Linked DNA regions of Coturnix japonica. The protein of the gene in region 2 interacts with the protein of the main gene of each other region in a biochemical or structural test. Links are inferred from orthologs where the notes say so. Each region holds a gene or a part of one and is shown on either strand. Other genes may lie near its edges.

Region 1 (3,653 bases), on a different chromosome or scaffold from region 2:
AGTCAGTCTTCCAGATGAAGTCTTACAAGTGTCTTGTGTATGATGGCAGCAATTCCTTAGCTCTATAGGAAATGCCAGATGATGCATTTTAGGAGTGTATTTGCTTTCTTTTTTTCCCAGATGCATTAGTCTGGTGGTTTGCAATAACACTGTGATCAACCAGAAAAATTCCATTTGGACATCCTCTCTCAACAGTTATTACTATTGGTTATCAATGACATACTACTCTACTGCACTTCATCCCATTTCTGTTTCTCTGGCCTTCAAAACCACTAGATATTTCCTGCATGAAATTCTAAGTCTTCTCTGTCATGGTAATGATCTGCCAGCTTCATATTATTGAAAGAGTTTTACATTTTGTGGTTAGCATCATTACTGACAGCATTAGAAAACAAATCTGTAAGGAATTCTGTTAGTTCTTGACTTTCTATCCAATTTCTTGTCTTTGCTGACATATTTCTAAAGCCTTCCAGAAAGCTAACATAAAGCAATTAAATCTTTGCAAAGAGTAGTGTAGTCTGCATCTGGAGAAGTAATTTGTATGAGGTAGCACAAAAGGTGCACATTTTGTTGGGCTGCCACAGACCTGTGGTGAATTATATGGGTCAACTGGAAAGATTCTTCAGATACTTACAAAGGATGCAACTCAAATATAATTACCTTCATATTCGAAACAAATCCAAATCAAACAAATAACTGCTGGAAATTATACAACCATTTGCTAAATAAATCCATATCTATCCAACTGTACCAGAGACATGCAAGCAAATTTTAGGCAATCATTTAAATTCTTTCCATCAAAATACTCTGTTTAAATATTCATTATTGCCTTGGAATTTTTATATTTCATCCTACAAGAGTATGCCAACATAGATGTTAAAAATATCACAAGGAGAAGACTCCTATCAAACTTTTAATATCCTCCTACTAACCTTAGGTGGTTTAAAAGGATAGTCCGGTGAAAAGGTAATGTCAAGGAAGAAAACTCCACCTTCATATACTGACCCTGGAGGCCCCAGTATAGTTGACCTCCATTCATAAATGTTGTCTCCTTTGGGTCCAGCACTAAAATAGAAAACAAACAAAAAAATAACATAATAACCACATACAATTAAGAAAATACTGCATCAGTTACAGTCTACTAGTAGTAGTGCTGGATTTGCAGCAATGCTGTGGGTTGAAATTGAGTACTATAGTTGCTTAGTTAGTCCTGCATGACATATCTTACTGGTGTCCTGAGCTCTGTCAATGAAGTGATATACTCAGCCAGGAAGAGGTATTAAAATCACACTATAAATTATTCAAATAAGCACAGAAAAATTCTTGACGGTTTAATCTCAAATATTTTAGTGGGCAGATGTGAAGTACTTACTGTACTAGCATACAGAGACTTTGCTGAGATGCCTTGTCACTGTCTTGCCTCACAAGCCTTCCTATTTTCATCTACCTTCTCATCCACCTACCTCATCAGTAGCAGCATAATTACACACATTATTATACAGCACATACAGTACTTAAGGCAGTGTGGTACGAATGACCTTGCAGCTGCACTTTCTAAGTAAGTTACTATCCGAAGGACTTCTGTCACTAGTACAGAAAGCTGCTTTAGTTGGCAATTTTTACGCTATCTTAAAAAAATCATAAACAAGAAGCAGTTCAACTGTTGGATTCTGTTAATTCAAAGTTTTCACTTACTAACACAGCACTGAAACAATATTTAAAATCTGTGATGAATAGTTCTACACATGAAACAAGAAAAATCTCTTATCTACACAGTCAGTGCCTGGAAAAAGACAATTGAAAATTACTGAGTTTATTTGACATTACTATTCCAAATGCTTATATAGCCTTCCTTCATACAACATAATGTTTATCCACAGAAAGGTGTATTTTATCCAGAGAGGCCTTTTGAGGTATATGAAGACTTCTTTTTGGTTCACAGCCTGCTGATACAAGTCATTGAAAAAGGACATGAATTTTAATTAGGATCAGTTGAGATGGGAACTTTTGAATAACTGATTAATATTTTTCAAAGGAATGCAGTGTTCGTAGATTTTTCAAATCAGTGACATAGTATTGTCTTAAAGCATTTCTTGTGAAACCATTCTTGTTATATTTGCAATAAAGATTTCCACAGTATGCAGGGGTTAGTGAAATAACCCTGCGCATAGAACAGATGAAAGCTCTTGGCTATGCTCCATGCCTCACAATGTACCCAAGGCATACAATTATTATACGACATCATGTCATGTTCACTACTCAACTATTCATTTTGTTCGCTGAAAGTTAATAAAACCCTCTTTCACCTGAAATTCCTTGGGCTCCCTTCATTAAAACTTCTGACTGCATGATTCCCTTCATACAATGCAGTGACTTAGTGTGGCATAGTTCATTAGTCATGGTACCTACATCAATTTTCTCTAATAGCTGTTAATGCTTCTTGGCTTTCTAAACTATCTGCTTTCTTAACAAAAATGGGTTACAGAGAATATAACATTATGGAACATTAATTAGCTATCAGCCATAGTAACACAACTAACAATTGTTTTAAAGATAAAATCTGGCTTTTAAAATGTCACAGTAGCAAAGTGTTGACTGTTTGCCATCCATCCATCCATCCACCCACCCACCCACCCATCCATATTTCACAGTGTCTGCAATACATCAAGTTGCTAGCTGCCAAACAAATTTAATTTACCCAGTTCTCAGTTTGCATTAACCTTTGAATAATAAAGCACAGCTGAGACTGCTCTAAGAAACAAACCAGAGAATGAATAATTAAAAACACCTCCACTGCCTTTAGAAAGACCAATGCCGAGTCAACAGGGAAGGTTTAATTGTGACTGAACTAGGCATTAAAGGGCTAATTGAACTCTTTATGAGCCCAACAAATGTGGGACTACATCAGAGCTACGGTATACAAGGTTCACAGAAAGTAAAGCCTTAAAAAAAGATAATCAGGCAATTAGTTCAAATAGAAAGAAGTAAGAAGCAGGAGCAGCCTAAATCTTACATGAAAAAAGTCTATTATACGTGAAGGAAATCCTTTCTTATTTCCTGCATAAAAAATGTTCTAATACTTGGAGAAGAAATGACTCAGTTGATGCCAGCAGGTTAAAATGGAAGTGATATAAATGCCAATCCCTGAGAAACAGTTGAAAAAGCAAGTATCAAAAGCAAGCCCTGTCTTTATTAGAGCTTACGTAGCAAGCAGAGGATGGCTGGGCTTTTCTTGGGTTTGAGCAAGGCTCACTTTTTTATTCAAAAATTCCTCTGATAGTGGCAGTTTCATAATGTATATTATTTTTATTTGTTTTGTCTATTTATTTAATTGCATTAACATTTGAAATGAGCATTCATTAATTAAAATAGTTGGAAAATGCTCCATCTGTCAGTTGAACTGTTTCGGCACGTCCAGCTACAAACCCAGCCTGATCACATTCTGAGGATGCTGATTAACATTAATTGAAGGTTTTCTTTGCAAATGAGAGATGAAGCTTTATTAAGCGTTATTATTAATTTGAAGAATAGCTGGAATTGTATGGAGTGTGGGTAGATTGCTGTTATCGATGTTGCCTGTTGGAGGGTTTGCTGGCAGCAAGGCCATTCAGCTCATGTAAAATACGGATTCACACGCACAGTCAACAGCTGGT
Region 2 (4,399 bases):
CATAGATGAAGTACAGCTGGCATGAATTCACTCTGTATCCTCCCAGTGATGCCACAAAACTGCACCTAGAAATGCTATTTTGATGACAGTTAAATAACAGGATGAACAAACACGCAGCACCAAATATAACAGGACATCAGTTCAGTGCCACCATTTTGCCAGCAGGCAAAATATGTACCTGATAATCCAGTTATAACCTGGAGGAATCTGTGTGGCTCAGAGAAAGAATTTCCCTGTGTGTATTCGCCATGATAACCCAGACTGGGTTCAGCACAGCCCTTACCTGACCAGGAGTAGCAACAGAAGAACAGTTGGGTTCTGGACAGTTGAGGCAGTGGACCTGCCCATCCCTGATCTGAATTTCAAAGTAGTCCTTCAGGCAGGCTTTGCAGTACACATGGCTGCACTCGGTGAAGTACATACATTCACTGCCCAGCTTCTCACAGAAGCAAATATTGCACATGTACATCTTACTGTTAAAGCACTTCCTTCTCTGAGCCTGATCAAAGTCCAGGATCTCCCGAATCAGGCTGGACAAAGATTCCACGTCCTGTACAGCTCTCTTATCAATTCCTTCTTCAGCCGCAGCACAGCCCACTGCACCAACACAGTCCTTGGCATCCTGAGGCACCGAAGGCGTCCTGCCCCATGTACTCCCTTGTTGGCGCATTTTGAGCTCGTATGGGGATGAAATATTCAGGTAATTCAACGTTTCTTCCTTCAGAAACTGCATCCAGGCAAACAGGACCACACAGCCTCGGTTTTCTTCCCATAAGTTGTCTAAATGCTCACAAAGAGCGCTGAGCTGGGAAAGAGAAACCAGTGCAGACTTCAGTGAGTCCTGGGGACTCGTGACAGCTCCCATGGTGCAAACCTACACCTCAAATTGTGGAACTGATGGGTAATACATAAAAGACATAGAAATAGCGCCTCGTAAGGCACACACTGAACTGTCAGAAGGGTAACCAAGTAAGAACAGCTAGGAAACAAAAGAGCCAAGAAAAAGAGACGTCACCACGTACATCATAACTGCATCTACTATACTGACATCCACCACAGCTAATGGTGTTAATTATACACTCATGACCACAAAAGCTCTGCTATAATGTTAGAACTGATCTGCAAACCTGTGCTGGGGAGAGCCATTTGCTGCTGAGAGTGAAGGCAGGCGGGGAGGATGACGGGTAGTCTGGTGGGAGCTCAAAATTCAGCACGAGTGGAGGCAGAAAGTGAACGGTGTATTCAAAGCTCTGCGGACTCTCTGCAGAAATGCCTGAGCCAATGGAGACAGGGTGAGACATCACAAAGAGGTGAGAACCAAAGGACGGCACACGCGACCCCTCTGTATGTTTGATAGACTTCTCAGTTTAAAGTGATTCATTCAACACCAAATAATGGTGCAGTAAAGTGCCATGAGGTTGTATGGGGTTAAACCAATACACAGCAGTGCTGTGAAATAGCAGATCCTGCAGGAGCCAAGTGCAAGGAAAACACCCCCAGGGGAATAATAAATATATTGACTTGATTACCCCAAAGAAACACCATGACTGAGCTCTGACTTTGAAGCTCTATGGAGAGGCTGCATCCAAAAGGCTGAGTGCCCTCCCCGACACCAACCCCAGCGATGGACACAAGGAGGGGTCCCACACGGCTCCGTCAGGTAAATATCCCTACAGCTCATGGGAGCAGCTGGGGAGGCCCCAGAAAATCACCTGGTCAAAGTGAACGTAAAGACAAGAGCAGCCATCACAACTCACCGCTCACAACAACTCTGAAGTTCTGGGGCAGTTCCAAACAAATCCTGGTCTCTCCTCCCTGTGCCGACTCCGCTCTCTTAAACTCATCTTCATCGTAGATGCTGGCCAGCGCCAACAGCTCGTCCTCCTGAGCTTCTCTGTCCTCTGAAGACATTTAAATGGTCTGTGGAATTAACACCACTCTACAGCATCAACCGAGTTAACGCGTCCCATCCAAACTACACGTCTGGGTCTGTTTTACACCTCCACAGGAAGAGTCAGGACCCAAAGTAAGCAGTGGGAGCATAGGACAGAGTCAGGCTTTGTCTCCGAGTTGAGAAGTGCTGGGAGCTTTATTTACACCATGGGGAACACCCACAGAACGTGGAGGAGGCAAAAAGCAAACGGTGCCCAGCGGCCGAGAGCAGCTGCGGGAACAGCAGAGAGATAAAGGAAAGCGGCAGCGGGACATGGCACGGCGTCTGGAAGGGAGAACGGAGCGGAAGAGAACGGAACCGAGTTAGTGACAGAACGGCTGGAGCAGCGCTCTATAAAGCGATGAGAGAAGCGCCGCAGGTCTCAGCTGGAAGCTCCGAGCCGCGCTGCGTCCGGCAGGAGGCGCCGCAATTCCCCGCACAGCTGCGGATCCGTCCCCAGCCCGGAGCGCGGCACGCACAAATACACGGAGCGCACTGTCAGCGAGCGGGCACGGAGCGGAGGGTCAAAGTCCCCTCAGCACAGACACACGCCGCACCCGGGCGGGTCCGATCGGCACCGCCCGCACCGAGCAGGAACGGAACCGAAGGCAGCCGGGAAGAGAAGCCGCCCGGACACGCTCCGCACGGCACGGCCGGGATACGAGGCCGCAGTGACGGCGCCAGGCGGAGCCGAGGCCGCACGGGGCGCCCGCAGCACCCGGGTCCCGGCGAAGCCGGCACGGCACGGCACAGTACGGCTCGGCACAGTACGGCACAGTACGGCTCGGCACATTACAGCACAGCACGGCACAGCACAGCACAGCACAGTACGGCACGGCACGGCCCGCTCTTCCGGCACGGCTCCCCCCGTTACCTCAGTCTCGTGGCGGCCCGGCGGACGCGGAACGTGGCGCTGCCGGCACCGCGGCGGACGGGAAGGACGGACCGGGAAGGAGCGGCTGAGGGCGGAGGCCCCGACCCGGCCCGGCCCCGCCGCGCTGCTGACAGCGCAGAGCGCCCGGCTCCGCCCGCCCCGCTCCGCGTCCCCACAGCGCCCCCTGCGGCCGGGAGGAACGCGGGGTCCCTCGGCGGGGCCGGTACCGCCCCGCACCATGCGGTCACTGAGCGCACGCGGCCGGGGAAGGCGGCAGGAGCTGCCCCGCATGGACGGGAGCCACGACAACAGCTGCAAAACAGCGCCAGGTGCAGCTGTGCTGCCCCGCCATCAGCTCCGCCCGAACCAACAGCTGCAGCCGGAGCTCAGCTCCACTCCCACCCCAATAACACACCGTAACCCACCCCAATAACGCACCGTAACCCACCCCAATAACGCACCGTAACCCACCCCAATAACACACCGTAACCCACCCCAATAACACACCCGTAGCCCACCCCAATAACACACCCGTAACCCATCCCCGCCTCCTGGAACAGCGGCAATAAGGAGACCGCGCTCACACCCCCCGACACCATCATTACTTCTCCTCACAATCAACGGCTTCAGACAGTCAGAGTCATCCAGTAGAATCCAGTGCATTTATTTCTTCCAACAGCTGAACTGTGTTTCAACGTCAGCTTTAACACATACAAATTCATGTTTGCAAGTTTAATGACAATCAGTACTAGAAGCAAATTACTGCAGAAAACTCATAGAAAATGAAAACGCTTTGTTCCTGGAAAAGAAGAAAACCAAGCATTCCAAATGAAGGCCTCATGGCAGCAAGCACAGCCCTGCAAGGAGTTGGGAAGGCATCAGTCAGCGCTCAGTGCGGGCAGCTGAAACACAGCCCTCCTTCTATGAGCACCCCCCGAGCTGCAGGCAGCGCTCATGTAACTAACCTGGGCGTCTACTTCATGGTTAGAGCACATCCATGGCTGAGCTGTTAGGAGCGTACAGCTGCTATTCTACAGAGCAGGTAAATGAACCTGATTTGGGGCTATCAGTGATGTGATGATGCCCACTAAGGAATAAAGGTAATGGGAACACTAACCACTAACCTCGTGGCAGTATGAGCTGTTCAGGTGCAGGTAAAGATAAACCTAGAGGTGTGTTAATGCTTAAATGCAGGCTAGACTAAGGTAAGCAGATAGAGGATGCTGCAGGCCCTGAGGAGCAGCCTCCCTCCCCATCCCTGTCTCACCATCCTACCATTAGTGGCATTTCCTGATGAGCACTGCTGTGAACAGCATGGAAAACTGGACTACAGCGTTTGCAGTCTCCCTTCTCAAAACAAGACTGACTCAGCATGAACATGCTTTAACATGGAGACAGCTCGTGGCTGCTTCTGCAGGTGCAGTAACAATATCAGAAGCCTCTAGCTACAATCACTATGGCAAGAAATACTGCTGGTCTGACCGAGCAGTTGGCTACCTAAGCATTCTGACTTCAGGCACTGACCAAACCTCTCTGAAGATTACCAAGAGTGCTGTGGTATTTGCTTGCTTCAATCTGTATTCAGAACATAC

Evidence for each region. The genes of interacting proteins can lie anywhere in the genome.
Region 1: the proteins of RNF14 (region 2) and ubiquitin-conjugating enzyme E2 E2 form a complex in vitro, tested with the Homo sapiens proteins (2 studies listed by BioGRID). The link is inferred for Coturnix japonica from reciprocal best matches to the Homo sapiens genes RNF14 and UBE2E2.

The regions. Positions count from the first base shown.
Region 1 is NC_029517.1:33,982,278-33,985,930, reverse strand, and holds part of ubiquitin-conjugating enzyme E2 E2, read right to left. Parts: intron 1,066-3,653; coding exon 933-1,065; intron 1-932.
Region 2 is NC_029528.1:1,070,831-1,075,229, forward strand, and holds the start of RNF14 (E3 ubiquitin-protein ligase RNF14), read right to left. Parts: upstream 2,923-4,399; 5' UTR 2,808-2,922; intron 2,055-2,807; exon of another isoform or gene 1,921-2,054; 5' UTR 1,912-1,920; coding exon 1,758-1,911; intron 1,274-1,757; coding exon 1,128-1,273; intron 806-1,127; coding exon 284-805; intron 1-283. UniProt on the Homo sapiens protein: E3 ubiquitin-protein ligase that plays a key role in the RNF14-RNF25 translation quality control pathway, a pathway that takes place when a ribosome has stalled during translation, and which promotes ubiquitination and degradation of translation factors on stalled ribosomes.